2 linked regions of the Tribolium castaneum genome follow. The protein of the gene in region 2 purifies or fractionates together with the protein of the main gene of each other region. This does not show direct contact. Links are inferred from orthologs where the notes say so. Each region holds a gene or a part of one and is shown on either strand. Other genes may lie near its edges. The genes, in order: mad2 and Mad1.

Region 1 (15,261 bases), on a different chromosome or scaffold from region 2:
TGTCTAATCTTTTTTACCCTAAATTTTTCTTAATATAACTCCGAGTAGTATGTTTATGTTTTTTATTCGTTCAGTGGCGTAGATGTGGAGGTTCACAAATATTTTTTATAGTACAAATTAAGCCATTAACAAAGTGCTAGACTCATATTTGAGCCTGTGATTAAAAAGACTTTGTTGTTTTTGATCTACAGAATACAGGAAACCAGACGTATTTTTTACGTGTTTGCCGTAAGAAAATTATTATGAAAGAGAAACTGTCATAAATAATGTAAGCATGTTCTGCTGAAATTAAAGTCTTTCTGAAAAAAAAAATGTTTTACGTTCGTTAACAACTGAAAAAAACAACTTTTTAATCTTATTTTCATATTTTTATACATAGTATTTTACCATTCATTCATCTTTTAAAACTCTATTTTGGCGTAATTTCTGAAAGTAGCAAAATTAGAAAAGTGTCATCCACATATAAAAAAATCTATTTTAACATAGATTATTTTGGTATACAGGATGTTTGCTGTAGTTGTAAAAATAGGTTCAGCAATATTTAGGAACAAGTTAACAAAAAGACCTGTATGACGTAAAAAGTCATAAGATATTTAGGATGTATATAGTAGCCAAGATTTTTTTTACTTTACTCGCACACACTTGTAAAAAATAACACAAGTAGGTAGGTATGAGTACATCACACTTTTTTAAATCCAGAGTGAATGAGTTATTCATTAATTCACACAAAGACTATCTTCTGTAAAATCACCACTTTAGTGGAATCTCTACAGACAACCTTTTTTGTGAGTTAATCCCTGGGATTCTTATTAGAATACGTCACAGTTGTTTTTTAAAAATTGTAATTCAAAATTTTCAAAAAAAAAATTTTCGCTGTTCCTGCTCCAAGTCTTCAGTACGCCTTTTTAGTTTTTTACCAGAAAAATTTTAGTTTAATTTTTGTAAAGTACTAATCGTGGAATTAATAAATTGTAAGGAGATGCCACTGAGGAAATAATTTTTGCACAAATAACTTTCCCGAAAACTTGGATCTATAAAAAAAGGCAGTTTCCCCTTGAGTTATCCGCAGATCCAAGCTTTTGTGCGGTCAGTTGGTATAATTTTTTATGCAGAAAAATGCCGAAAAGGGCATTTTCCTGTGTTGGTCCTCCGTGGGCTTTGTTTTATTTGCGGGCGCCTGTTGTATATTCGTGTCGGTGCTAGTTAACATTCTCCCGTGTCCATCGGTTGATTTACGTCTTTTCGGCATCTTTTCCAAAAATGCGTCCTTCTAGTCGTTCGCGGGGAATCCGTCTCAGCTTCTCGGAATGCATTTTGAAGAGTTCGAACGCGTGCTGAATATTAACTTGGAAACAATGCCGTGGAATTCGCTAATAGTTTCGGGCAAACATGCCGAAAAATACGGTCCGGGATGCTCCACCGGATTATTGTATTTTAATTTCCGTCGAGCGGGTGTAATAGATGGTGGCCGTGCGCTGATTTTTTCCTTTCTTCGCGGCTTATTTATGACGATCACGTTCCAACTAGACGAAGGCCAGACGATCTACAGTTATCCGAAAGGAATTTCGGAAATTTCGGCAAACAAAGCGAATTTTCGCGGCCGAAAATGGCGACGAGGCCGGGACGAGGTATTTCGGTAGCACAGGTAAATGCAAGCGAGAAGTGGAGTAAGGACTTGTATAAATAGGATTTCTCCAGTGGCGTGCCCGAAAAATAAACAACGACTAACCCAATTTTTTAAGGGGCTAAGTTTAGGTGGCACCTGTTGGACGCCGAGTCCAACAAAAACTCATAAAAAAATATTTTTATTTGCGTGATTTGTGAAAAAATAAGGGAAAATTTGCGCCGGCTCTACAAAACACCACATGCACAACAACTGAAAAAGTTGAACTCGGTTTTGCCAAGATATTATTTCACAAGAAATTTAAATTTAGTGCTGTTCACAGTTCAGGATAATTCGGTACACATTTGTTTGCCTTTGAGGTCCGGCAGTGGTAATCGGCAAAAGCAAGGAAAATAAGAAAAATGGAACATTAAAGAGCTTAGCACGTTTTTTGCACAAACAAACTGGTGTTCCAGAAATCGAAATATTCCGGACTTGATTGAAAACTGATTCTTGTGGAAAAGTTTCTCCTGACTTCAGATGCAAAGGTCGTTTTTTGATTTAAAATTAGCTTCATTATGGAAAAGTAGTTTTAATAAAAAAATTGAAAAACTACGACTGGGCAAATTTTATTTTTACGTCCTCATATCTCCTTCCTGGAGGTAGTTAGAATTTTTTTTAGAAAAAGAATGAAAACAGAGAATTACAGTTTACTTTTGAATGAAAATATGAGTTTTTGTATTTAACTCAAACAATTCGTGTTTTTAGGTTTGACGTCGAAACAAATTTGGTTTGGATTAGTTTATGTTAGATTTATCAAACTGTTATGTGGAAATTATAATTTTCAGCAAAAATTGCTGACTTCTCATTGTGGTTAAATTTTTTATAAAAAAATACTAAAAAGTTGAAAGAAACTAAAAGATCGTGAGATTGAAATTGTGAAGAACTAAGTGAAAAACTGAAAAAACTATAGAACTAGAAAAGAGAAAAACTAATAAATTGAAACACTTATATTCTAAATAAAAAACCAATTCACTAAGTGACTGAAAAGCTGAAATACTAAAAAAAAACTAAAAAACAGAAAGCTTGAAATTGTGTAGAACTAACAGAAAAATAAATGAGCGAAAAATTCAAAAAAAAAATTTATCACCACAAAGTTAGAACATTTATGAAACTGTAAAACAGAAAATAAAACTGTGAAAAATTTAAGAAGTAAAAATAAAATACCAGGAAAATAATAAACTATAAAACTGATATACTTACTGAGAAACTTAATAACTGTGATGGAAACATTAAAAAACTATACGATTGAAAGACTGGATGCCCGAGGAACAAAAAATCTCTAAATGTGAAATTAAAAAATCTGATGTAAATATTAATAAAAAACTGAATAAATGTATTATTTAAAATAAGAAACTTTAGGATGTTTAAAACACGTTTAGGATACGGGAAGTTGGTCGGTATAGGAATTTAAGAGAAATAAAAATTGTGTCAAATATTTCTAACGAAGCAGGTTTATTTCGAGTTTCAAGAAAAGTCCTCAAAAATTACGGGTTAGGGAAGTTTTTTAAAATCCGGTCTTTAATAATGAATAATAACGATTTGATAACAAAAATATTGATTTATGGATCGGTTTAGAAGAACGTCATTAATTTAATCCGCAAGTAAATGCCTGATTAACTGATGACGTGACCAAATTGAACCAATCAGAAGCTCTCATTCACAAAGTTAACTTTTAACAGCTTATAAACTAAATTAAAAAAAATAACAAGAACATTTTTTTGGTTGGGTCCAGGTGATCCCTAAATTGATGGGAATAATCAAGAATTTTGTTGTAACATTTCCTTTGAACTTTTGCAGCTCCGAAGCCTGTCAGGATCAACGAGAGCGCCTGCCACGCCAGGCACCGAAAATACACGTGTAGAGTCGAGGGATTCCCCTTGCCCACAGTCCAGTGGAAGCACAACAACACGATCCTCCACAACAGGGACCGCGTCCGCATCATTCAGAAAAAGTAGGTAAAGTTACTTCCCGTTTCGGGAGCTTCTCGCTTTGTAAAACCCCATGAAAAACCCGATTTTAATTGGCATTTTTTCCCGCTGTGTCGTCGCAGTGAGGGGAACGATAGGTGAGTGGATGAGTGAGCCGAGCCACCTCATGATGAAATTATATCGCTTGCATGCGCTTTTGCTTCCGCTTTGCTCCTTCCAAAGGTGATTCTTGCGTTTTCCAGGCGAAAAAGTATTCTGGTGGTCGACAAACGCTCGGATACGGGACAGTACACCTGTGTGGCGATTGCAGCGACTGGAGAGGAGGTTTCCTATGTCGTCCGCCGCAACTCGTCGCCGTCGAAGTCCAAGACACACAACTCCAAGCACAAAATGCACTCGACCTCCAGGCCCAAGACGCACAGGATCTTCAGGCCCAACACACACACGACCTCCGGGCCTTTACAGACACCTGGTACCTATACAAGCGATATAGATTTAGCGACACCAGCGCCTGATAGTGAGTTCGCGGGATACACTTGCTTTAGCTGTACTCACGAAAAAATCAACAACTTATCAGAAACAGTCTCATCTATTTAGTTAAATCGACACAGCAGAACGAACTAAATTTACCTTTTTCTACACAAACACAATATAACAAATTAAAATTGCCTTTTTATCCTACAAAGGATGTTACAAAACAATTTGATCAAATTTCGCGCTGATAAACTGTTTTCAAAGCTGTATCCATACTTTTTTTAATTGGCGGTATTAGATAAAGTGTAGACTGCAGTTGTGTTTTCAACCTAAAATTAAAAAGCAGCGAACTTCGGATGCACCAAAAAGTACAATATTATACAATAAATAAGAATAAAATTTGCAGTCATTTCTTAGTTTTTTAGTTTCTCACAGTTATAATTTAATAATTAGGTGCTGTATGTATAGTTAAAACATTAACTACCAGAAAAAATCAAGTCCTACTCTAAGACAAAAAAATAATTAATAAGATGAGCCGGAAAAACAGGCCAAACTTTTCTAATCGAACCTAAAATTGTCCATTTTTTAGCAAATGCGAGACAAATATTTCAGCAAAACCCAAGTAACTTTAAAATTTCTACTACAAAGATTCGAATTGAGAGTTTAGATACATTTGAAATAATAATTATGTAATTTAGCACAAATCGTAGTACGCAAGATTACTAAAAATACTACTGGCACTTTTCTCATGTTTTCATAGGTTTTTTACCCAGGACAGGTTTTTCGATGTCTTGTCCTGTTGTACGTTTATGTCCTGCTTTTTCATAAACAAACCCAAATGTCCCGATTTTGAGATTTTACTCGGAATAAAGGCATTTTATTCAGAAAATAAATATGCATTTATAAATTGAATCTAATACAGAATAATAAGATGTTTCGCTAAAATACTAGAAAGTTTTTCATCATCCTTAAAATGATCTTTAATTTTATGTCAATATGTATTTTACATTTTATATTTTCATTATCATTAACATCTTAATTTTGAGATTTCTGAAGTTGGTCTCTTTAACTTCCAAAAGTTTTCGAGACCATTGTTTTATTTATCGGTCATTTTCAACGGAATAAATCAAAAAAACTTTGTCGTATAACTGATTACATCAACTCTAAGTATCTTCTTTCACGCAATTTTAAAAGGTTTGCACCTAATGTACGGACCTGAAGGACATAGATATTCTACTGTTCTTCACAGCTACTCTTCGTTAAAAGTTTTTTGCGCAAAATTAATGTTATTTATTCATTAACGTAGATAACATTGTGATTCTGCTAATGAACATTTTTAAAATCTGTCTAGTTTTTACCTTTTATCTTCGTTGTAAAAGTTGGTCAACACATTATTATTGTCACATAACATCAAGAAATATTAAGAACTTAGAAGTATCTAATAAAAACAAGCACCATATGAAATAAAGAATATAGAGTCACATTTCCTGCAATACGATGTTACAGAAAAAATTGTGCCTAGAGTTAGGGTAGGTAAAAGTATTCTAATGTTTTATAAAGGCGTTTCAAAGCTACTTAGTTACTTTACTAATGAACCAGAAATACAAACCAAATCGTACCTACCATTTTTTATAGTTCGTCCAAGCTGGGTATTTTTGCAATAATAGTTAAAATTAACTCTCAATAATTATAGACGGCTCCATTCCAGAAGTAAGTAATTTTTTTTCAACTTTTTGGAAAATTTTTGACCCACTCGTTAATTATCTAAAGGCCGAATTTTTACAGCCCTTAGAACTCAAAGCCTTTTACAGCCTTATTTTGGAAAAAAAACGTCAAAAAATTGTTTTGTTTCTGGAAAACTTTTGACCCACTCGTTATTTATCTAGAAGTCGAATTTTCACAGCTTTTAGAACTGAAAGTCTTTTTTACAGCCTTATTTTGATAAAAAATATTGTCAACAAATTGTTTATTTTTGTAAAATAATGTCAAAAAAAACGAAGGCACGTAAAAAAGCACGTACTTGCGCTTAATTAGTTATTTATTAGATTTAATTTGTCGCTCGACTTATAATAATACGATTAGTGATTGGCACAAGCGCAAAAAGGCGCGAGCAAAGTGTTTGGTCCTTTAATGCGCGCTCGGCTGCCAAAAGTGCATCGCATCGCGAAAAATCCGTGAATAATAATCTCGTCAAGCGCCACCCGTATTACACAATCCTATTGGCACTTTGACAGGTCGTACACACTCCCATAAACAAAATCGGTCGTGTGTACGTTGCCAAAACGCTGCTTTCCTAACGCTGGGTCATCTAACGCTTTTATGTAATCGCGCGAATTTTCTGGTTGCAGGAGAACCCTGCAAGGAAGACATGCGAGAGAACTTTTGTCATAATGGGGGCACTTGCTTTGCCACGAGAATCACAGGCGGCAAAGTACCGAATTCCTATGATTGTGTGTAAGTATTAAGGCGGCGGACGGACAACACCGCCGACAGATGGCGCCAAGCGCCGCCGCCGGCTCGAATTACACGGACTTTTCTGGTTTCAGGTGTCCTCCCGGGTACACGGGTCATAGATGTGAGGGGAAAATGTCCGATCAATCCAGTAGGTATCGACAGACACCTATATTCACTTGTAAGATAGGCCTCTTTACGAAATACGATGATTGCTAGAGAAATTATTCCATTTTTACGAGATGAGAGTTCGTGCTAGACTTGCGTCCGGGAATTAAGCGATTTTTAGTGGATTTTTTAACATCGACGCTGTGTAAATTAACTTGTTACCGTTTGTACATACACCTATGAGGGATGAAAAAAACTCCACTGTATATTTGTAAACTATCCTAATGTATAAGACTGTTGAAAAGCGTACGTTTCTTCTGTTTTTTTGGACAGTCATCGAGCAACCACTAGATAAATAAATGTCCACAATGATCTACGTGGAGTTTCACAGCGTGAACAGAGTTTCATGACTAGAAGTGACGAGCAAGCCGTAGATTATTATCGACATTCATTTACCCACTTTATACCTGATATCGAATTCGTCTAATAAATTTGACCGAAACTCGATTTGGATTTCAGGTAAAAAGCAATGTACCTATAAATATCAGGGACCGACATTTTACTTAATTTTTGTATAAAGTCATGTAGATATATTTATTTATTACATCTATACTCACAACAAAATCTTAAGAATCTTTATTACAAATTCTAAAAAAATAAAAAAATTGTTGTAAACTTATTAATAAACGATGAAAGGAAGGACGTAGTTTTTTTACTATTGGTTTGACCCTATCTGGTACATTGGGGGACAAAAGGACTCTCTATTGGATAAAAAATTATAAAATTAGGTATGTAATCAATTTTGCCTGCTCTCTGTATTAACCAATTCTTTAATAACTGTTTACTAATAACTCTCGAAATTTAATCGACTGTTAGATTTGTTGTGAGTTTCAGATGTCTCTAACTCGCATGTCCCTCTCAAATAGCAATACGTAGACGTAAACCTTAACACAAACCTCTCAACTACCGGGGAAAAACCGACTCTTGTACACGTTCCCTTTTATGTTTCAGGCAAAAAAGCGACCGATTCGGTAAGGTAGTGTTGACTTTGCACGTTTTCGCACTAACACTGTGTAGTTTAGAGGGTGTGTGGTTTCGAAACTCCAGTTGCTAATCACTCAGTAATAATTGTTTGATTTGTTCCAGTATTGTGAGGGAGCGGAAAAGAGCGACAAGGCTGGATAACCCTATACCAAAGAAAATTGCATTACAGAGGATGTAGATACTCGTTTAATTTATTTGATTTGGAGAAAAACGCACAATGTAGTAGTCGATGTGTAATAATTTTTTTATCATGTTAGCAACAATGTTATGTAAATCTCAGTGTTGTTAAAGATACTCGCATATTGTGATAACGATAAATGGCGCTATTAGTTGAGTGAAAACTTAGAAGTTTAGGTCGAAATCTCGAACCATTTGTCGTGACTGTAGTTAAGTTTTATATGCTTGAAAAATAAAAGAAATGTTACTTCTTTTATAAACTTTATTAATTATAAATATATTTAAATAAACGCAGAAAACGTTATCTTTGAGTGAGTTTGCCCCAAGTCCTAGAATACTTCAATGAAGGTTGTTACCTTCAAGTCAATAAAAAAACACAAATGTAAAATCATAATCCTTTTTTTCGATCATTGGTGTTGGAATAAAAATCTTCTGTGTAAAAAAATGTAAATTTATTAAACACACTGAACGCAAAAATCGCTTCCACTTTACACTTAAACCTAGTCCTCATTCTTATAGGTAACGACAGTATCCATCTTATGTAAATTGGTTGAAAAGGACCGCATTTTAACCGACTGTGCATTTTTTACATGGGCTGCTTGGGCCTCAGTCCACTCTCCCGGCAAATCAACATCACTTTTGGTATAAATTTGAATATCAAAGCTACATAAACAGTCCAATAAAGGCAAATAGGCGACCGACGACGCGATTTGTTTCAACACGTCCCTAATCTCGTTTTTAATAGTTTTTAACGGTTTTTCCGACACGGCCCCCCCAGGTTCATCCGCATTCCCCTCATACTCAACATAAAAATCCCAACGTTCCATAACCTCCCGCGTTTTCACGTTCGTTATGATCATTGCAACCCTCGTAACGCACCTTTGTAGTAACCACTCTAAAAATAATACAAAACTAGTCAAAAAAAACTCGCCGGTAACCCAAACCTTTTAATTGCGATAAAGTCGTCGAGAGAAACTCCTTGATCTTGTTGTCGGTAGACATGAGAATCGTCAGACCGTAGTTTTCCACACTTTGAAAGTTCTCGGGTGGGTACAGCCCCCGTTGGAACAAAATCGAGTTGATTCCGAAATCTGCAAGACAGCCATAACCTCATTTTATACAATTGGGGGCAAAATTACTCAAGTAATCGCAAACGATTTCGGCGGAGCCTTTCAGAGTGATCGCTGATTTGTTTTTTGGAGCCACTGCGGCCATTGCGGGGCTGTCTTAACACACACAGATAATTTAGCGGCAAAAAAAGTAACGGTAAAAAGTGAATTCAAACTTTCAAAACTGTCAAACGTCAAGTGGCAGGTTTGCCAATCTCAGCGGATGTAAACAATTTCGAGAACCTTTCCAGAATTTCTACCGGGAAGAGAAATTCGCTGTGTTCCAGAATTTTCCAGGATAACTGTTATGGAAAATTACGCAATGATTTACTAATTTATCGCCAAAAGAACGTTGCTAGATAGGAACCCCAATAAATGACTAAAATTGAGAATGAGACGACAAAAAAATATAAGAATGAATCATCTTTTGCACCCTTTTGACTATTTTTCTAAAAGAATATCTTTGTTTTTTATACTGTTAGGGCGAAAATAATCATTATTATGCATTCTCAATCGAAAATAGATGGAAATCATCCACGAATTTGTTGGAAAAACTAATTTTTGTTAAACCCACGTGTTTTTTTCATAAAACGTTGCTTAACCGATTTATGAGGGAAACAAGGGCAGTAAGACATTTTATAAATTAATTTCCATCTAAATTCAATCAGATTTAGCCCCAAAATTTGCCATTAAACAAAAAGTTTAAAAAATTGGATAATATCTGTTGAATTCACCGTTTTCATCTTTTTTCGTCACGAATTATAACCATTCGCACCCAATTTTTATCAAATCAAATGATATGAATTCGTAGAATTGTAAGGGATGCTTGGGAGGTCCGAATGGTTAGTGTGTGTGAGGGCTTTTAGGGCGAGTGTGAAAGATGGGAAACATGTGTTAAAGATGAATGCCGAATGTCTGGATTTTTAGAAAATAAGTTAGTCTGTAACTGGCTTTTGTAGAGTAAAGTAAAATTAAAAGGTCCTGTTGAGAAGATCGTAGTTTATTTACCCTATAATCCTGACGTAATAAATTATAAACTATAACAATTTATCAGAAGTGGGATCGTGAAAAAAAAAATTATTCGTGGAGACTTAGTTTGGTTTTATTAGTGTTAGTTTGTTAGTGGTCAAAGAAATAAAGGAAAATGACGGACGATAAGAATAAAGAAAGCCCGAAGGAAATCATCCCTCAATCAGGACAGGAATTTTTGAACTTAGAGACAATTTTACAATTAGTGAAGGCAGCGGTGAGCGAAGCGTTACAGGCTCAGACAGGGACAGTGGCGGCGGCGGCGGCGGCGGCGGTTGACCAGGAGGTAGCAGGGTCGCCAGACATACAGGAGTTGTCCAGAGATAAGGAGGCGTCGGGGACGCTGGGGTCGTCTGGAAACGGGGTGGTGTCGGAGACAAGTGGCCTGCAGAACAGTCTTCCGTTGGGCCGGGTGGAGGCGCCTGGGGCGTCGAGAAACATGGGGTATTGCGTAATGCCCGATTTAACGCAAAGTTTACGCGTATTCAATGGAAAAGGAGGTGCATCAGACGCATTACAGTGGTTACAGGACATCAAAACCATGGCGGGACGTCAATTTTGGGGTGATGCAATTTTGTTGGAGGTGGCGCGTCAACACCTCGTAGATAGCGCGTTGTTGTGGTATCGATATCACCAGGATACCTTAACAACGTGGGCAGCGTTTGAGATGCGATTCCGCGAAAATTATACGGATCGAAGAACGCTCGCCGAAAGGTTTAGAGAGATGTCGGAGAGAAAACAAAGAACCAGTGAAAGCGCGGAAGATTATTTTTACGCAAAAATGGCGATGTGTCGCGATTTAAAATTGTCGTTCGCGGAAACGAAAGAAATGCTGCTCACGGGGTTGAAGTCCAGGGAAGTTGCGAGATCTCTGCTGACTGTTCGACACGACGATGAGTGGCAGCTTCTTCGTGATTTGAGGAACAATGAACGGTTGGATTTAATTTCGGTTCCAGAGAGGCGTATTTTGCCAGAGAAGAGAAAGTGTTTTCGCTGTGGAGCAGAGGGCCACATTTCTAAAAACTGTAACACTCCGAGAGTGGAAAATAACACCAAATGTTTTCCGTGTTTTAAGTGCGGGAAAATGGGACACTTCGCGCGCGAGTGCCAAGTACCGGGTCGCGATTCGCGAGAAAGACAAGTAGTAGGGCGAAACGAAAATTCGCAACGGGGTGCTACTGCAAACGAAGTGGCGGCGCAAGTAAAGACAATAAATGCTCAGTCGGACAATCTAAAGTATTTTAAGGACGTGAAAATTAACGGGGTGGAAGTTAGGGGTTACGTGGACATGGGAGCGGAAGTTTGTGTCATCCGGGATGATTATGTACCCAAATTAAAACTTATGTGTGACTGGGACAAGAAGAAGGACGTTACGGGCTACGGCGGTGCAGTTACAAGTGTTTTAGGAGCCGCACAGGTGGATGTAGAAATCGACGGCATCAACGCCCAGATCGAACTCCTGGTGGTGCCGAGGGAAACCCAGGAGATTCCAGTGATAATCGGGCATCCATACACCGAACAGCCGCACATCGAAATTGTAAAAACACCTCACGAACTTATAATAAGAAAATGTGAAGAGAACGGTGCGAATAATGCTCCAAGAACGGTTTTGTGGGCGAGTGAGGCGTCTGTAATTCGAAATAACTTCCTGGGGCACATCACAGTCAGGACACAGACACCAGAAAGTACCCTTTGTGTCGAAGGTGGACTACGCGAGTCGGGAGAGTGGGTACCACGATGTGTAATAAGCACAGACAGGAACGGTGACACGGTGTTACCCATTTTAAATATAAGTGGAAAGGACATAAAAATTGTTGAAAATCAAAGTGTTGCGCGAGGGGACGTGTGTCGAGAATATACACATCGGCGAGATGTTAACACGGAACCTATTGACGCGTGTGAAATCAACACTGATTTGGCCGGGAAAGACGCGGAAAAAGTGTTGGAACTTATAAATGATTATCGAGATTTAGTGGCCCGAAATGTTAAGCAAATTGGATGTACGAATCTAGTAGAAATGGACATTGAATTAACAGACGATAAACCAGTTGTCTATCGACCGTATCGTATGTCGTTTTCCGAAAAAGAACAAGTGCGAAATATAGTGCGCGAATTGAAAGAGGCCGATATAATTGAAGAAACTGATTCTCCATTTGCAAGTCCGGTAATTCTCGTAAAGAAAAAGTCCGGGGAAGTGAGGATGTGTGTCGATTATCGAGCGCTCAATAAGAAAACAGTGAAACAGCACTACCCCTTGCCGTTAATCGACGATCAGCTGGATCGACTTCGGGGCCAAATCTACTTTACCTCAGTGGATTTGTCCATGGGATACCACCAGGTACCAATGTCGAGGGACGCGCGAGGTAAGACGGCTTTCATTACCCCTGATGGGGTCTACTGTTTTAAGAGAATGAGTTTTGGGTTAGCGAATGCGCCCTCGCAGTTTCAAAGATTAATAAACATAGTTCTTGGGAATTTGCGATATGACACTGCGATGGCGTATTTGGACGATATTATTATTCCGTCCAAAACTGTAGAGGAAGGATTAGCTAAGTTAAAATTGTTATTTAATAGATTTAGATACGCGAACTTGACGTTAAACTTGCGAAAATGTTTTTTCTTTATGACAAAAATTGATTATTTGGGTTTTACAATTTCAAAAGAGGGTATTGAACCGGGAAGGGATAAACTTAGGGCAGTGGCTGAGTTTCCGGTACCTACAGACGTACACAAGGTCAGATCGTTTTTGGGGTTGGCTAGTTATTTCAGGCGTTTTGTCCGGAATTTTGCAATTATTGCCCGTCCTCTCAGTGACTTATTAAAAAAAGGAGGTAGTTTTAAATGGGGGGTAATACAGCAAAACGCGTTCGAGTCGTTAAAGAAAGCATTAATGAACAAACCAATCCTTTGCGTTTTCGACACGGGCGCCTATACAGAACTTCATACAGACGCGAGTTCAACGGGGTTAGGTGCCGTGCTTCTGCAGAAACAGAATGACGGAACATTGCGACCGGTGTCATTTTACAGCCGAAAAACGACACCCGAGGAAGCGAAATACCACAGCTATGAACTAGAATGCTTAGCAATTGTAGCGGCACTAGAGAAATTTCGCGTTTATTTGCTAGGGATTCATTTTGTAATTCGTACTGATTGTAACAGTTTAAAATTGTTGGCAAATAAAAAAGATATGCATCCAAGAATAGGGCGTTGGTTTATTAGGTTGTCAGAGTTTGATTATACCGTTGAGTACCACCGGGGCGAAAACAATAAAGTAGCAGACGCCCTTAGCCGAAATGCGGTAGAGGCTGGTCGGGCCGTGCCAGTGGGTGGACTTCCAGATGTCATGGGGATAAAGATAAATACGGATTGGGTAGCGGCATTACAGCGTACCTGCAATGAAACTAAAAGCGTTTTACAGAAATTAGAAGAGGGCGATCAGGCAACGCACTCTAAATTTACGTTATGCAATGGTCGTGTTTATCGGGTAAAAGATGGAAAGTGGCGATTGTATGTACCTGTCGATTTAAGATTTGATATAATTAGTAACGCTCATAGAGAACTTATGCATTTGGGAATAGATAAAACGTTGGACAAAATAAAAGAGAGCTACTATTTTCCAAAAATGCGGGAAGAGGTAGGAAAATATATCAATCGATGCATTAACTGTTTGTATAGTAAGACACCGCGCGGGAGGCAACCGGGAATGCTGCACCCGTTAGACAAAGGCAGTACTCCGTTTCAGGTGGTGCATATCGACCATTTGGGCCCTTTTCCGTCAAGTAAAACAGGAAACAAATACGTATGCGCTATTATAGACGGCTTTAGTAAGTACACAGTATTAAAAGCGCTGCCGGATGTAGGAGCCGAGGGAACTCTTAGTTTTTTGAAAGAATTCGTTTCTAATTATGGAAAGCCCAATAAAATAATTAGCGACAGAGGTACAGCGTTCATTTCGAAGTTGTTCGAAAAATTTTGCGGTGATTGTGAAATCCAACACGTAAAAATTGCAACAGCAAGTCCTAGATCGAATGGACAAGTGGAGAAAGTAAACGACGTGATAATAACATGCTTAAGTACAAGTACGGATGACATAGAAGGTAGTGATTGGGACGAAAAATTAAGCGAAGTACAATGGGCTATTAATAATGCAACCCATTCGGTCACTAAAAGAACGCCTTTTAGTTTGGTCCGGACATACACGCGAGACGGGTTCACTAATAATCCGTTAGCAGCCGAAATACGCGATTTAAATACACGCTTAAATACGGAAGAAGAGCAAAATTTAGTTGCGGATCGGCTGAAAAGAAATGCGGATCGTATGTGCGCGAATTTTAATAAATCGCGGCGTCAGGCTAGGGTTTTCAAGCAAGGGGATTTGGTGTTGGTACGGGCTGAGGTACCGTCGACCGGCCAAAGTCGTAAATTGAGCCCTAAGTATCGAGGACCCTATGAGATTGTTAAATTTATAGGGAATGATAGATATTTAGTGCAAGATATAGAAGGCGAACAACAAAGTAGTCGCTTCTATAAAGGAATTATTTCTGTAGACAGATTAAAATTAGTTAGTAATTTAGAGGAGTAATAATTAAGATAAAGTAGGTTGTACAAGTGTTAAGGGTAATGTTAAATTTTTATCGGAATTTTATTATTAGAAAAATTTGGGGACATAAGTAGAGTGTTTAGTTTCGTTATTTTAAGTTATGGTAAGTGTCATTAGGGGAATGAGTGATTAGATGGTTGGGATGTGTTCTCGAGGACGAGAACATTGTCAGGAAAGGCCGAGTTGATATGAATTCGTAGAATTGTAAGGGATGCTTGGGAGGTCCGAATGGTTAGTGTGTGTGAGGGCTTTTAGGGCGAGTGTGAAAGATGGGAAACATGTGTTAAAGATGAATGCCGAATGTCTGGATTTTTAGAAAATAAGTTAGTCTGTAACTGGCTTTTGTAGAGTAAAGTAAAATTAAAAGGTCCTGTTGAGAAGATCGTAGTTTATTTACCCTATAATCCTGACGTAATAAATTATAAACTATAACACAAATAAAACGGATTTTTCTAGAAAAATCAATAACGGTATTGCAGATTTCGAATTTCGCGCCCGATTTAGCGGAAGCAACTCATGTTCTGTCCTTGTCTATGGAAGGTTTCGAAGCGTCGGAAAGCGTCTAGATTCTTCTCGAATAATCTAGAACGCAGAAGGCTATAAAAGCAACCGAACAAACACGAATCGCTCAGAGTTGAAAAAGCAAGCGCTAAGTGAAGAGCTAAGAAGCGACAA
Region 2 (16,036 bases):
TCATCGCTAGAAGATCGCATTGAGATAGCTGTTAATTCTATGGGTGAACGTTTCATTAACACTTGTTGCGAAAGCGCAATTCTTGGCTCTTAACATACCAGAGAAACCGGTTCAGTTTTTGTTTGAATTTAAAGTAGCTATTTTTAAGTTCAACGCGGCATGTTAATTTCAGTTTCGATCAACTAAATCTGTTCCATTTCATATTTATATGTAGTTATAATAAAACATGAATTACAAAGTTTATATTGTTTTAGTAGAAATGCAAAGACTCCTTTTTGATATTGGACTTTAATAATTGGAAGCCGGTCTGATGGGTTTTAACGGTTCAGTTACCCAAACCAGCTTGATCAGGAAATGAAATCCACAATATTTCGGGGTATTGGCTTGGTCCAGAAATGAAAAGCTATTTTTGGGGTATCTAAAAACTAGAGAATTTATAAAGGTTTCCTGGTTTTTAAAGTAATTTTACTTGGAGTGTCGAGGATTTTAAGTCGCTTTAAGTTGTTTTTCGTTGATTTTTCCATGCGCCAATAGGCTTGGTCCAGAAATGAAAAGCTATTTTGAGGTGTGTGAAATCTAGAGATTTGACAATGGTTTTAGAGCAGTTTTGAGGTAATTTTACTTGATTTTTGCATGCGCCAATTGGCTTGGTCCAGAAATGAAGAGCTATTTTTGGGGTGTCTAAAATTAAGGCATTTTGTAAGTTTTTTAGATCTTTTTCGGATGGTTACTTTTGGGAAAACACTAAATTTGTAGGATTCTACCCTGTTTTTCGTGTGCCCAATTTTTGGTGGCCTACACATATTTGGGAACTTTTGGGGTGGATAAAAATTAATGATTTTTGAGAGGTTTTAGGCCCTATTCGGTTGTTTGCTTTTGGGCAAACAGTTAATTTGTAAGATTTTGTCTTGTTTTTTAAGACGTCAAATATCCTGGCCCAGAAGTAACATTCTATACTCTACTTTGCCCGCCAGCGAGATAAACATTTACACAAAATACATCAAGTGCAAATGTCTGCTAGGGAATTAACTATTGCTTACTGATCGAAAATAAAGCCAGATTATTACAGCGAAAGCTCCTATCAGCGGACACCTCTCCACAACGGACAACTAGAGATTCTCCATTGAGAAGAGGTTTTACTGTATCGGGAAACAATTTCCACTCCAATTCCAACTTTACGGATCGAAAATGAAGCCAGATTATTACAGCAAAACCTCCCATCAGCGGACACCTCTCCACAACGGACAACTAGAGAATATCCATTGGTGTTCGTTGTTGAGAGGTTTTACTGTATCGGGAAACAATTTTCACTTTAATTTCAAACTTTGAGGCTGGCTATTTTAATTTTGTCAAATATTAAAGCCGTTCTTTGGAAAACAGAATTAAACAAAACGCATTGTTTTCCAAGTTTCAAATTGTTGCTCACCGTCGTGTCAGACAAAAGCTATTTGTAGGTTTGCAAAGCCCAGTTTTCGCGATAAACTCCGCCACAGTATTCAAACATCTAAGTTGCTGTTCATCTGAGTTAGATTAGATCTTGTGATGCAGTTTGGAATTGTGGTGCCACTAAGAAACCAGATACCGGGTGTTCGTTTATTTATTTTGCACCCTTGATGAAATGTAAGAGCTTGTGGTTGAACGGTCGGGTCGTGTAACATATGGAAGGCCATTAAAAAGATGGGTCATTGTCTCGTTTGCGGTCCGTGGAGCAGTGGCTTAATTATTACATTTGTTTTGCCAAGTTTATCCCCGGGCGCGTCCTTTTTGCGGGAAACGTAATTAATTCCGAGATGGTAAACGTGGAAATAATTTATTCAAATTCGATGTGCATAATAAGGAGAAATTCAAGAGGAGGGCACAAATAAATCCCACAAACTGATGGAGTTTTTTTGCGGGGTTTGCACACTTAATTAGTGTGGAGTGAATTAAGAGCTGCGGTATGAAATTTTGAACGCCACAAGAATTGTGTTGCGGTTCGAATAAAAAATCACGCGGTGTGAAAACGCGAAAATTCTCAGTCAGGGTGTTTATGAACACTGTTATTTCTTTGCCGGCCATAGAACTGGCAGGTTTATACGCCACTATTTGCATTTTTTAACTTCTTGGTTTATAAGATCGCTGAACGTGAATGTGGTTCTAAAGCGATTTGTGTCGTTTGTTTTCAAGTAATCGTCTGAAATTAAAATAAGTCTTTAGCTTTTCTGTAGCAATTTTTGTCGTTCTTAAGCAAGAAATCGTCCGAAATCATTGTTTTCAACTAAACTAGTGCTTAAGTCGGCGTTTTTGACACCAGATTATTACAATTTCAAAGTTTTTACAACAATTTTTGATCAAAAAATGGTTAAGAAATGCCTGGTTTTTACAAAACCAAAACTTAAGTTGTTGTTTTCAGCTACAATAAAACTATTTCAGAATTTTTAAAGCGTTCGTTCGAAATCAAATACTTTTAAACTAAATTCTTGCTTAAATCACCAAAATAGAGTTTCTGTAACGATTTTTGACCAAGAAATGGTTTAAAATTAACAAAAGCTCATTTCGAAAACACTCTATACTTGAAAGTAATTTTAGGTGAGTCAAAGAGTTGCTAGTAAATGATTAATTTTCTAACATTAATTTTCACATCGCTGGGACTGACTATATATATATATATATATATATTTTATTACTGTTTATTATGATTAGAAATGATTTGGAAATCAACGTTTTGTCTATTATACGACAGTCATCATCAGGCTAACAATACATTCGTATAAAAAATAAAAAAAAATTGACATATTATTATGAAATAAAATTTGAAAAATAATGGTAGCATCAATTGTTTTTTCTAAATTTTAATCTTCAATCTTTATTTCAATCTTCGGCTAGACTTCGACTAGAATTCGCCTCATAATGTTGAATATTTATTTATTTGTTTTCTTTTTCTTTAATAAAGACCTATTATTATTATTATTATTATTATTATTATTATTCATAATGTCATGGCAAAAAAGTTTATCTATTTTTTATACAAATGTATTGTTAGCCTGATGTTGACTGTCGTATAATAGACGAAACGTTGCGTAACAATCGTTGTTTCATTGATAGTTCTCTATCAGTTATTTATTTAACCTAGGATTAAGCATACAAGATAACGTTTTACTATCGATTACCTTAAAACATTATACAATGTGTTTTTAAATAATTCTTATCTAGTTGTTTGTGAATTTTTTTGTAAAATTAGAAAATGCCACTTCATATAACTAACGATAGACACTAGACATCGAATATTATCAATTATCATTCTTCATTTATTAAGTCTCCAATTCGGAAATAAGCTTTGATAACAAAAGCGTTTTTTTTTCACGGTGTAATAATTTAGTTGCATTTTAACAAGATTTTTTAAAGAAATTAATTGAATTTCTCAACTGACAGATTTAACATCTATTGACAGATGATTCAACTGAGCAGAGCGGTACAAATTTTTTTACATAAAAAACAATTTTAAAGTTAATTAGATGAGAATCATTTAATTATCGTCCGAAATCATTGTTTTCAACTAAGAATATTACGATTTCAGAGTTTTTACAACAATTTCTGATCAAAAAATGGTTAAGAAATGCTTGTTTTTTACAAAACCAAAACTTAAGTTGTTGTTTTCAGCCACAATAAAACGATATCAAACTTTCCAAAGCGTCTGTTTGAAATAAATACTTTTAAACTAAATTTTTGCTTAAATCACCAAAATATAACGACTTTAGAGTTTCTGTAACGATTTTTGATCAAAAAATGGTTTTAGAATTAACAAAAGCTTATTTCGGAAACACTCTGTTCACTGAAAAATAGTTTTAGGTGAGTCAAAGAGTTGCTAGTAAATGATTAATTTTCTAACATTAGTTTTCACATCGCTGGGACAGACTGCATGCTGGAGTTTTTAATAAAAATAATTTCGGCCGCCGTTTATTAGGATTAGAAATAATTTGGAACAGCGTTATTATAGACTTTTTTTAGGAGATGGATGTTTGCTCCGGTGCTTTTAGTGCATTAGCCGATTTTTTGCAGGGTTGGGCGTTTGTGCAACATTTTCAGTAGTTAACAACCCCAAATTTCCGAAACGCGTCCCGGAGCTTGTAATGATTTGGCAGCCGAGTTGGCAGTTTTGCGAAAGGCCTCTTCGTGATCTTTTCTAATAGATCTTCTGTTTCTGAAAGCAATGAAGCGTGTCAGTGTCTGTCGGTCAGTTCCGGGTCTTGAAAGGGCCGATCGTTGCCTGCGCTGGATTCTAATCCGGCCAGGAAATGTGCTGGATGGAGAAGGATGTTGCGTACTCGCACAAAATGGGGATAAAGTTATACCAGGACAAGGAATCAATCAATGATCATTTTCGCAAATGCCTGATTCATTTATCGGCTCTGAAAAATGTGTACAAAAAAACTCCGCTTAGGATTTTTCGTAATGCGCTCTAAAGCATCAGCGTCTATAAAGGATATAACTTTTTTATGGGCATTTCGGTCAGTTCATTTCAATCAACAACGCTATCGATTCGAGGATCCTCCAGTTTTTAAGTTTCTTGAAAAGTTGGACTCTTTTATCAAGTGAAATAAATTCTGAAAGTTAACCACTGTTTCGTTCGATTTGCGTCCAGAATTTGCATTCGCTCGCTTGCGAGTGAGTTCCGAACGTGGTCACGAGTTCAGCTACCAAACGCTGAATTACGGTTTAACACCTGAAGGATTACAAATACAAACCACACACGTGCTGAGCTATATTCTCACACGAACGCCTCTGAATGACACGTTTTTCGCATAATGGAATTACGTGATTTGAACGAAAACTAGGCCAATGATCTTATTAACAAATCAACTGATTATCCGAACGAGTGCCATCGATTAACTCGCGCACACAAAAGAGGATTAAATCTTTTACACCGGCTGATATTTATTATCACTGCATAACCGGACCCACTTCATATAATACCAATTTGTGGTACTCGCAGAATTCCAAGTGCTTCATTTAGCCTAATTGCCTTATCGGGATTATAAATCTTGGCGAACTGCAAATTACTCAAAACGGAACGCTTTTTATTAATTGGGACCGGATTTTAACTCGCAATTTTTAAGCTCGGAATAAATCTGTTGTGCGAAACTTTTTTTTTTATTTCTGTTGTATTGTTTTTTAATCTCAAATGCAAATAAACAAGTTAATAAACCATCGAGCTACACCGTGACATTTCATCCGTTAGTTAATTTAATCCGCGAAATTAATTAGTTATTAATATTTTACAAATACGTCAAAATGTTGCGAATTTTTTTATTTCTGCTAACAACAGTAAAATTATTCAACCAAATTTAAATTAGTGAGTACTTGCTCAAGTTTTCAACTTTGAGTCAATTTGATTAAAAAAGTTTTGCTGCAGGGATGACTGAAGCCAGAAAAAGAACTGGATGTGTAATTTTTTTGTCTAGATCAACCTTTTTAACGATTCAAAATTTTTTCCATTTTATGTTATTATTTATGTTGAAAGTAAACAGAATAATATTCGCAACAACGACGAGGCCGAACAGGCCTCGATTTTTCTCTTGAAACTTTTCTGCACATAAGCGAAAGCCGATACTCCTGCAATGAATAGTATTATCCAGAGCAGTGAGTGTGCTTTTAACGGAAATATGAGTATTTTCTGTGATCTTTGTTGTAATAATTGCGAGTAAATTTCCAGTTTTGAAAACGAACTTGATACGCTTGAAACAATTGTAGATAAAATCTTGTATAATACTCGTAATGTAATAAAAAGTCAAGTATTCTGAGCATCAAAATTAAGGCAATTATTCTACAATCAGCGTCAGAATGCGCAACAAAATTCTCCCAGTGACATCATTCGTGTTGGAAGTAAAACTATCCCGCGGTAACAAAGGGAATTTCGTTTGTGTGGCTTTCTCATAATCACATTAATTTCCAAACTAAATCAACTTCCGGAGAATCGAGTCACTTCCAACATTTCTCGACTCTTTTTCCCCAAATATGGCCTTGGTTCATTTATCACAAAATTATTCTGTAATAAGCTAATAATTTTTGACCCGACTATTAATTTGCAGTGTTGGCAACTCTTCGAAATCAGAGGATTAGAAATGGTGTTTTATTTTGTCGTTTGAGTTTGATGCATAGGTCTGCTCTAATTTTCTCGGATTATGTTGATATTTTTACTCGAAAATCCGCCCCAACACGTGGCCAACCGTGAATAATGGATTAATTAGAATTATCGAAGCATAAATAATGATCACCAATACTTCAACCACGCGCCCATTATGTTACGTAATTAATTTCAGCGACTCCTTACGTTTCATACAAATCGACCTATTTGACAGATACAAAGCACTTTTGGTGCAACCAACGAACCAATTAATTGTCGCATGTGAGGCATACATTTAGGACACGACTTTTATTTTCCTTCAGCAGTGTTTAATTGAAATCGTCTAACATTTTCGGTTCAGTTCGCATTGTCAGAATATGCGAAACGCTACAATTTAAAACGTAATTAAACTGCAAGCACTTGCAATAAGCAATCAAGGGAAATTTGCATATATTTTCGCGCTAATTCGACAGTGCCTTGAGACTCTATGCCAGTCTCGTAGCGCGAATTGTTTGTTTTGTCCCGAATAAGAAATGTCTTGGCGATAGTTTGTTCTGCGGAATTAATTTACTGGAGGAATTCGGTATAGATTACTCTTTCTCGGTTACTGATTAAACGTCAACAGGTTTAATTACACAGTTTAAAAAATCAATTTAAATGCGAGCCAAAAACACAGTTCCGCGAATTTATTTCGATTTAGAGTTTTCCGCCAGTTTTTAATAATGCAGAAATGCATGAGGTAAACATTTTAAACTACAAGCCAATTTTGTACCGAAACCCATTCGATTTTATCACCGATAAAGCTAAATAATTCGATAAAAAGACTGCCGGCCTTAAAATACTGAAATATTTTATATTCGCAAAGTTTCATGTCATTTTATCTCTACTTTTTTATTTTGGAACTCTTGTGAAGTTCGCTAGGTTTTAAATTGCGCCACGAGCAAATTTAAACGGAAACTTTATCATTCGTTGAGGATTTTGCCGCAAGGGATAACGGGAAATGTATGTAGTAAATGGTTCAACTTCAAAATTTTAATTAACTCTGTATTTATTTATTTACTTAATCGAATTGGCATCAAAATATGTGCGTTTACTGGTAACGGCAAAACCTGAAATCGCTTTTATTCTGCACCAGTTGTGTCGAAATCAGTTAATTTTTAACCACTTTTTAACCACAAAAATCGTTAAAAAAACTCTAAAATCGTTATATTCCGGTGAAGAAAACGACGATTTTGGCACAAATTTTGTTAAAAACAGTTGATTTTTAACCAGTTTTTGGTCAAAAATCGTTAAAAAAACTCTAAAATCGTTATATTCCGGTGAAGAAAATGACGATTTTGGCACAAATTTTGTTAAAAACAGTTGATTTTTAACCATTTTTTGGTCAAAAAATCGTTAAAAAAACTCGGAAATCGTTATATTCCGGGGAAGAAATCAACGGTTTAATCAGAAATTTTGTTAAAACGTTTTAACCATTTTTGGGTCAAAAATCGTTAAAAAAACTCTAAAATCGTTATATTCCGGTGAAAAATTCGACGATTTAAGCAGAAGTTTTGTTAAAATCAGTTGATCATTAACCATTTCTTGGACAAAAATTGTTGAAAAAACTCTAAAATCGTTATATTCTGATGAAAGAATTGATAATTTTTGTCCCCAATTTTTTTGAAGTCAGTTAATTTTAAACCATTTCTTGACCAAAGTCGTTGAAGAAACCTTAAGAAAAAGACTACGATTTAAGCACTAAATTGTTGACTTCAGTTGAATTTCAATCACAGCTATGATTTAGAAAAAAGAAAATGTTAACATCTTTATTAATGAACAAGTTATGGAGCCCGAAATTAATGCCAAAAATTCAACCATATTTATCTTCTTCGTTGTGTATTGAAAGTGCGGTTTCAGCAATGATAAATGTTGGATGGCGAATCAATAACAGGCAGTTGAGCTCGTAGTGAATATAAAATCACGCCAAGGTAAAAAAGACAAGTGGTTCTGTCTGCAAGCCTTTCCTCAGATAAGATAAATAAAAATGTCAGCAAACCGTCGGAAAAGTGTCCCAAGTGTATGGTAATTGAAGTGTTAAAATTTTGAATTTTTGCGCTAAATGATTGTACCTACACAAGCCGTTGTGATAATGGAACAACAGTGTAGTTAATGACAACATTAATCATATTACGGTGCTGAATAGATGAGTTTTATTGACGTTGTCGATGTTCATTGAGAGAGACACGAGAATAGTGTCAATTTCGCGAGGTTCGGCTTGTTAATTAATTAACGTTGCGAAAAAACTTACGGGCATGAATTAAAATAAATCTGCCATGTTTTGATACGCATTGATTCATCAAAGGCTAATGCAAATTTTTGTGGGCAAAGCTTTTAGTAACTGCATTATTACCGTGAATTTTTCACAGGCTTTTGATGCATTAGCAACTTTAATAAAAACTTGCGAGAATTAGGTTTCCTCAAATTTTTATTTGTTTTAGTAATGAAAGCGCAGTGTTTGTCGAAAATTTCATTCCCAACCTTTTTAAAATGGATTTCGGGATTTTGCAACAAAAAATTGTGCTGATCCAATAAATTTAAAAAACATAAGCTGGTGACCGCCTAACAACCCTTCTCATGCCACCGGCATTTCCGATATGTATATAAAACTTGCCCCGAACATATCACGGGTCGCATTTATTAACAGAGGCGAGTCCGGAGTGTCCGGCCGATCACCCGGAGCCACTTTATTGCCTCGGACCGGCTAAAACATGACACAATCAGCGAAAAGAGCGCTAAATGTTCTTATCGCAATTAGCAATTGTCCAGGGTTCGGGTAAAAAACGCCGAAATGCTCCGGAATAGCTGATTGAATATTTCAATATTTCGCCCTCATGTCGCTGCTATTTTTTAAAATATACAGCTCGCAGCTCGGATTAAAGCCGCTTTTTCCTCATCCACGTCTAAACTTATAAATTTAAATTTTGCAGTAGCAGTGCCGTGTTTCAAAAAATCTGTTTAATTTTTGTTCAGTCAATTATACAATTAACTGTATCAGTGATTGATGGTGGAGTCACTTCAAAAAAAATTAATTTAATTAAAAAATGGTGGATGTGCCGGGCTATGTATAAAAATTATATCTCAAAAACTAAAAGTTTTTGAGCAAGACGGTTTGTTCCAAAGTATTCTCCTACGGTTCAGTTTACGTATTATTATACTTGACTTTTAACCACTCGCATTTACCGAAGGTTTTAAAGTTTTCATAAAGTAGCGAGCCAAAAGATTTGTTAACGAAACATTTTTTTTTGGTTTATGTTTTTTGAATTAAGTGGACTGTTTGTGTTTTTAATATTATTTATATTACATTAGTTTTTTTACAAAACAAGATTACTCAAGAACTTTTTATTTAAAAAATGGTGGATGCGCCGGGTTACATATTAAAATTTATTTGCAGTTATTTACTAAATGAAATTATAACTTGAAAACTGTAACTCCTAGAGTAAAACAATTTGTTTCATTGTATTTTTCAGTTAATATCATATAGTTCACAAAATTTTTTTCACAACACATGATACTACACAATTATTTAAAACTTATTTTAATTAGAAAAATGGTGGAGGCGCCAGGATTTTTTATTTAAATTATTTGTTCCAAAGGTCATTTGATTTCATTTCCCGTTTTATACTTACTGTTTTTACAATCGAATTTGCCTAAAATTATGTGGTGACGTTACAAAGCATATTTAGTTTTTCATTAAATAATTCATAACTCAAAAACTAACTTGAGCACTTCATAGATTAGCAGTTTATTTATTACCACAAACCTTAAATAAGTTAACTTTGCTTTTACCGACAGTTCTAAAGGTTTAATACAATAACGAGCCAAAAATTACGAAACATTAAGAATTGTTTTTTGTTTCTTAAATCAAATGAATTGTATATGTTACTCGTAATATTATTTTGTTGGTGTTGTTAAATTCTTTCATATTTTTAAGAGCCATAAGCACATTATATATGTAGAAACTAAAGAATTTAAAATGACACATTGTGTTTCAAAAATATTTTTTGAATTTGTATAAATTGGTAAATAGATGATTATTATTTAAGAATATCTTTATTTAATAATTAGCGGTGGCTGTAATGTGTTTAAAAAGTAAATTGGCTCGCTATAATCTTGTATTTGTGACAATATCCTCCAATTATTGAGCTGTTTTAGGATGCAGCCCACACACCCAACCAAATGCATTTTCCGACAAAACAAATTTAATTTTGGTGGATGCGCCGGGTCAGAACCATCACTCGGTTCAATAAATGACAAAATACGTGATTAGCTAATTAAAGTTTTTGTGGTTTGTGGCAACATTTATTAGCTGCTAAATATATGATGCAGTCAGAATTAAAATAATTAATCATATTTCAGTAACTTGATATGAAATTAATGAATTTGTTTTTGCATTTGCACTGCAAATTATTTATGTTTTTATTAATGGCTTTTCGTCACTTTGAATTCGTTATTAAATAGTAGGGTTACTTACGAAATTTGCATCTTAACTCTTGCTCATGTTACCCACTTGAATGCGTTTATAAATCAAGTTTCGTGACTTTATTAAATTTTAAGTAGCGTTTAGGGTTAAGGTAAGTTTGGAATAATTTATAGATGAGACGCTACGATGAAAGATTGCTCAAAACGGAATCGCTCATTCTACAAGAAACAGCCAAAACCAAAAAACGCTTGCTTTCGTTGCCAAAAATTAATTTTTCCAGCCGAGTGGACTTTCATTTGTTAGTGGATGCATCCAGACAGTTCTATTCGAGTCTATTCGTGTGAAACTGTTGCTTATGTTGCATGCACACTCGCATCTAGTACAACTTCAAACATTCAAACATCCTCGCAAAACAATTCTACTAAAACCTGGATTGGCAATATGAGCGCACTCCATTTACTCAAAACTGCAGCGGCAAATTAACAACGCCCGATCGAACAGACGACGCTACTTGTGTTTAAACTTCCGCCGAGCTAAAAAATAAATCACCGTGTCTTCCATAAACAAACCAATCTGACAAGACAACGAGACACGCACAAACACATGTGACGTCAAAGGATTCTTCCACAATTATCTATTCCGCGAAAATTTCACACCCTTCATCATCCGAAAAGATCCAACTTCGTAAGTTGAACGGAGCGCAAATCAGAGCGGTGGGAGTCTTTGAAGCTTGTCATTGTTCAACTAACTTCATGTTCGAATTGCTTGTAACATCGACAATCTAATGTAGACTTGAGTATTGATCCGGAACTTTTTCCTGACAAGTTTCGCTTTAATAATATCCACTCTTGATGGATTGCGTTTAAATCGGGAAAAGTAAAAGTTTCATTAGACAAATTGTGAGCTCGAGAGCGCGCTCGATCTCTCTTATTAAATCACTACTACGAAAATCCGAAAAACCTGGATCTAATTAATAACCAGAGGAAAGTAACCTAATTCAAAGGTGTTAAAAAAAATGTACAAAAACAGAAAATCTGGTAATTTATGTTACATTTTTTATTAGAAAACTTTTGCTTAGTTTTGAATGCCTTATGATTGGAAGTTTACTTTACCGGCGATATCCAATGACAAACGCTTTAATTGTCTTGCAATTTTATGTGCACCAGATAAAACAAGTAGGAGGTGATTTTTATATTTTTATTGGTCAGTTACTCATTTTTGAGACAAATGAGACACCAGTGGACCGGTTTAGGGGCCGGTCTTTCTCACAGAACGAGATTTTGCCTTAAATGCAAAAAAATTGTTGATTCTGCATAGTTTTTGACTTTGTTTCATTTTTTTGACAAAAACACTATTAAATTTACATATTACACAAAAACTAAGAATCCAAAAAAAGTACGACTTTACTTAACTAATTAAAGTCTAACTGTTAGTTTAAAAAAATAATAATTACAATTATAATAATTAAATTCTGAAGTGTTTAGAGCAGGGATGCAATTAAACTTCATATTTTTAGCGACGTTTCGATTTTAATGAAATCATCATCAGGGTACAAGGATACATAATAATGAAAGTAGATGAATTTTTATAAAATTAGAAGATAATTTAATTCTGAAATAGAGTTAGCACGTTTTCAGAAATTAAAAGTTAAAACTATGAAAAAAGAACTTTAACGCTGAGAAACTACAAATGTTTAGACTAAAATTGTGAAAAACTAAAATACTGAAAAACAGAAAAACACAAAAAACACAAAACTGGAAAAGGGAAACATATTTTAAATAAAAAACAATAAACAAAAAAATTAAAAAGGTAAAAAATCTTAAAAACTGGAAAACTGTAAGATTAAAATTTTGTAGATCTAAGTCACTGCAAGAATAATAATTAAAAAACTATGAAACTGCAAAGTAAGAACATTAATAAGATAAGATAGTGAAAAGATACTGAAAAATTAAGAAAATAAATAATGTGAAATACTATGAAACTAAAAGCTGAAATACTAGAAAAACAAAAACAAAAAATCTTTAGGTGTAAAATAAAATAATTTTTAAATTGAAAATTTTAATGTAGTGATTTAATTTAAACTAAATGCAAAATATAAAAAGTATAATAAAAAAGTTCAACATAACTGCAGGATGTTTATTCGAATTGTTCTTCATAAACATACTCAGATGTAATAATATATGTAAATACATTGTCTTAATATACTCAATGATCCAGAGAAACTGAGTATGTTGGCATCAGATTAAATTATTGAATTGCTACCTGAAAGTGTACACTATTGGTATCCTTTAAAATTTAAATTCAGATTGCTAACAGACACAGTATTTCGGGATCAGTCTGTATAAATACATCAGTTTTGTTGGTTTGATTACTTGTCTACAGACTGTTCAGAAAAGCAAAAAAATATAAAAATTTTGCTTGTAACCTTTGACAATAGTCCAATTTTTAAGTCCCTCAAGGCTAAATTTAAACAACTATTTTTCAAAATTTATTCGCGGTTATAAGATATACGGACGTTTGTAAAAGCGGCCCTAACACGTACTTTAACAGTTTGATGTCAAAGTTCTTGATAAGTTTTGAAATTTTTTAAAAGTAATCTCGATTGCATCATAGTTATTAGTAAATTACTCAAACACAAGAGAATTACAAGTGTGCTAAAATTATTTTAAATAAAAAGTCGCATATCTGATATACATAACTATAACTGGAAGTTAACTGATTAAAACTACCATGTAATCATTTAAATTTATAATAATAGTAGGCTTTAATATTGATTAACTTGTATAATACTTGTAGAATACGTTTTTTCGCTTAGTTTCTAAATTAAGCACTCACAAAAAGGACAAACCTTGTTTTTTTAACAGGCATAGGCGTTATAACATTGTGTAAAACAACATAAAAGATTAAGACATAGAGGGACATGGCGAATTTGAAAACTTTGAACCATAGCAAGTCCTAAACTCCCTGCTTTCACAAAATACTAGCTTCGCAACTACAATAAATTTATTTATTATTATGATATACCTATTAATTACTGCACATCATGTTTAACTCGTCTTCATGGGATTTTCAATTACATCCCAAGAACCGTTATCATCTCCAAGGACGGTCTTCATCTCCTAAACATCAAGAAATTCCCTTATTAGAGAAGTTTGTTTGATCCTTCTTGGTGTAATATGATTATATTAATATCTAGAAATCGCAATTAATTGTTGTATAGACACCTTTCAATAACGTTTACCTTAAGATGTTTGATCACAAAAACATCCAAAAATCAAAACAATCGGCTGTTGATAAATTAAAGAATTAAAAAGAGAAGTGTGCGCACGTCGATTACGTATTTTTAGGTGAACCTTCTTTACTTTTAGCAAAATGTGTGACAGATTCCTTTAAATTTACAGATTTCTTTGCAACTGACGCCACCTCTAAGCTGGAGCACACGAACTATTTTAGCCGTTTGCCCCACCCCTCCCAGTGAACACATAATTTGACATAATTTGTATACACTTTCAGGGGCCTGCTCGTAGCTTTCGCGTAGAATGTGATACCACTGAAGTGTGGTTTTGTGAGACAAGTAAAAGTGAGGTTGGTTTCGTCGCCCCTTGTCAAAATGGGCGACAAAGTAGACGACACTATCATAAAGTTGGTGAGGAATTTGAAGTCGACGGTCGAGGACGAGCCCGATTTCACCCTGGGCAGCCCCTACAAACTTTCTCTGAGTTCGGTCTCGAACGACAGCCAATGCAGTTCCGAGGAGTTCCTCAAAGTCAAGCGACCAAAGCGCGAAAGTTTGCTAAATGTGTCCTACGCGGGGTCTCCTCGCGAGATCCGACGTTTGCGGACCGATATCTTGGAGAGTCGGAACACGATTTTGAATTTGGAGAACCGGATCCAACACATGCACAGTGTGCGCAAGGAGGTCGAGTTAATGTACGAGAATGAGACAAAGTTGTTGAAGAAGCAACACGAACATGACCGGAAGAGTATCGAAGAGTTGGAAGCGCAGTTGGTCTCAATCAGGCAAAGGGAAGCCGAGTTGAAGAAACAACTTGCTGAGGTTCCCTGTGTTGTTTTTGTGACAAAAATGTTCATTTTTGATGTCTAGGTGACCAGCAACTACAACATGCTGAAGGTGCAAAAGGACGAAGTGATTGAAGAACTTGAGAAAAGTCTGTCCGAGATGAAGGAAGAGTCGCGGCTTTTTGACGGTGAAGAAAACATTGAAATTGTGGCGTTGAATCGGAAGTTGGCCGAGATGCAAATGATGCTGGACGCCGCTGAAGAAGACGCCGACGCTCAGAAAAAATTAGTGCTTGAATTAGGTAATTAACAGGGACGTAATTATTTCGCAATAATTGTTTTTGTTTTTCGTACAACTAGAGAAACAGTTGGCAGAAAAGAACGCCATAGACAGGGAAATCGAGAAGAAGGAACAAGCGCTCCAAATTGCCAATTTGCGCATAAAAGAGTTGGAATATGCCAAAGAAAATTTTTTGGAATTCCAAGATCAAGCCAAAGTAGTATTTATTGAAATATTTTCCCCGTTTCTCAAATGAATTGTTTTAGAGTCAAGCGAAAAAATTGGCTAACTACAGTGATATGGTCAGGGAAGTTGAAAAACTGAGGGAAGAAAACGTCCGGTTGAAAGACGAAGTTAAGAACAAACTATTACTGGAAGAGGAAGTTCACGATTTGAAGTCACGTTTGGTTAAATATAAAGAACAGGAGAAGAAATTGGCGAATTTAGAAGCTGAAAAAGTTCAAACTGGAATTTATTTAGATGAGTGGCGAGCTGTAGCTCGTGGAATTTGCGAAACAGTGGGTTCGGACTCGTCTTTGCCTCATCTTTTACGTTCAGCTGTTGAAAAATTGCAACAACAGGAGATTTCGTTAACTTCGACCAAAGTTGAATTGGAATCGCAATTAACCGCTGCATTATACGTAAATGTTTATATTTTAAATTAATAAATTATTAGTTGTTTTCTAATTCTAGGACGCCAAAGTTGCAAAAGCTGAGATTGAAAAAAGCCACAAACTTATTTCGGAGCTGAAGAAAACCGGTGAACAAAAACAGGCGCTTTTGCACCGTATGCAGAAAAAACTGTCGTTGGTCAGTCGGGAGAGGGACAGTTATCGGCTTCAGCTCGATTCCTACGAGAAGGATTTAACAATGTCGATAAATCCGTCAACAATTGCAAACTCGAATCAGCTGCAAACTCAGCGGGAGAGAATCGTAGCGTTGGAGAAAATCATCGAAAGTTACAAGGAGTTGAATGCAAAGTTGGAGTCGGATTTGCAAAACACTAATCCTGCGTTGTATTCCGGTACGTCCACGTTTTATTGATTTAAACTGAAAATAAAGATTTGATTTTTTGCAGATAATCCGAACAGTAGAGCCGAACAATTGACGAAATTGCAGGAAGAAGTGGACCAGTTGCGGATGGAAAATGAGATGTTGAAGCAACGTCGAG

The links.
Region 1: the proteins of Mad1 (region 2) and mad2 purify together in Drosophila melanogaster (affinity purification with mass spectrometry; 4 studies listed by BioGRID, with this or other methods). This does not show direct contact. The link is inferred for Tribolium castaneum from reciprocal best matches to the Drosophila melanogaster genes Mad1 and mad2.

The regions. Positions count from the first base shown.
Region 1 is NC_087398.1:3,478,476-3,493,736, reverse strand, and holds mad2 (mitotic spindle assembly checkpoint protein MAD2A), read right to left. Parts: upstream 9,170-15,261; 5' UTR 9,064-9,169; coding exon 8,988-9,063; intron 8,940-8,987; coding exon 8,793-8,939; intron 8,744-8,792; coding exon 8,349-8,743; 3' UTR 8,279-8,348; downstream 1-8,278. Other genes in the region: uncharacterized protein LOC103313241, read left to right, coding at 3,464-3,617, 3,717-3,731, 3,837-4,111, 6,417-6,522, 6,615-6,738.
Region 2 is NC_087396.1:23,433,054-23,449,089, reverse strand, and holds part of Mad1 (mitotic spindle assembly checkpoint protein MAD1), read left to right. Parts: intron 1-14,078; 5' UTR 14,079-14,175; coding exon 14,176-14,622; intron 14,623-14,670; coding exon 14,671-14,887; intron 14,888-14,945; coding exon 14,946-15,082; intron 15,083-15,131; coding exon 15,132-15,506; intron 15,507-15,558; coding exon 15,559-15,889; intron 15,890-15,943; coding exon 15,944-16,036.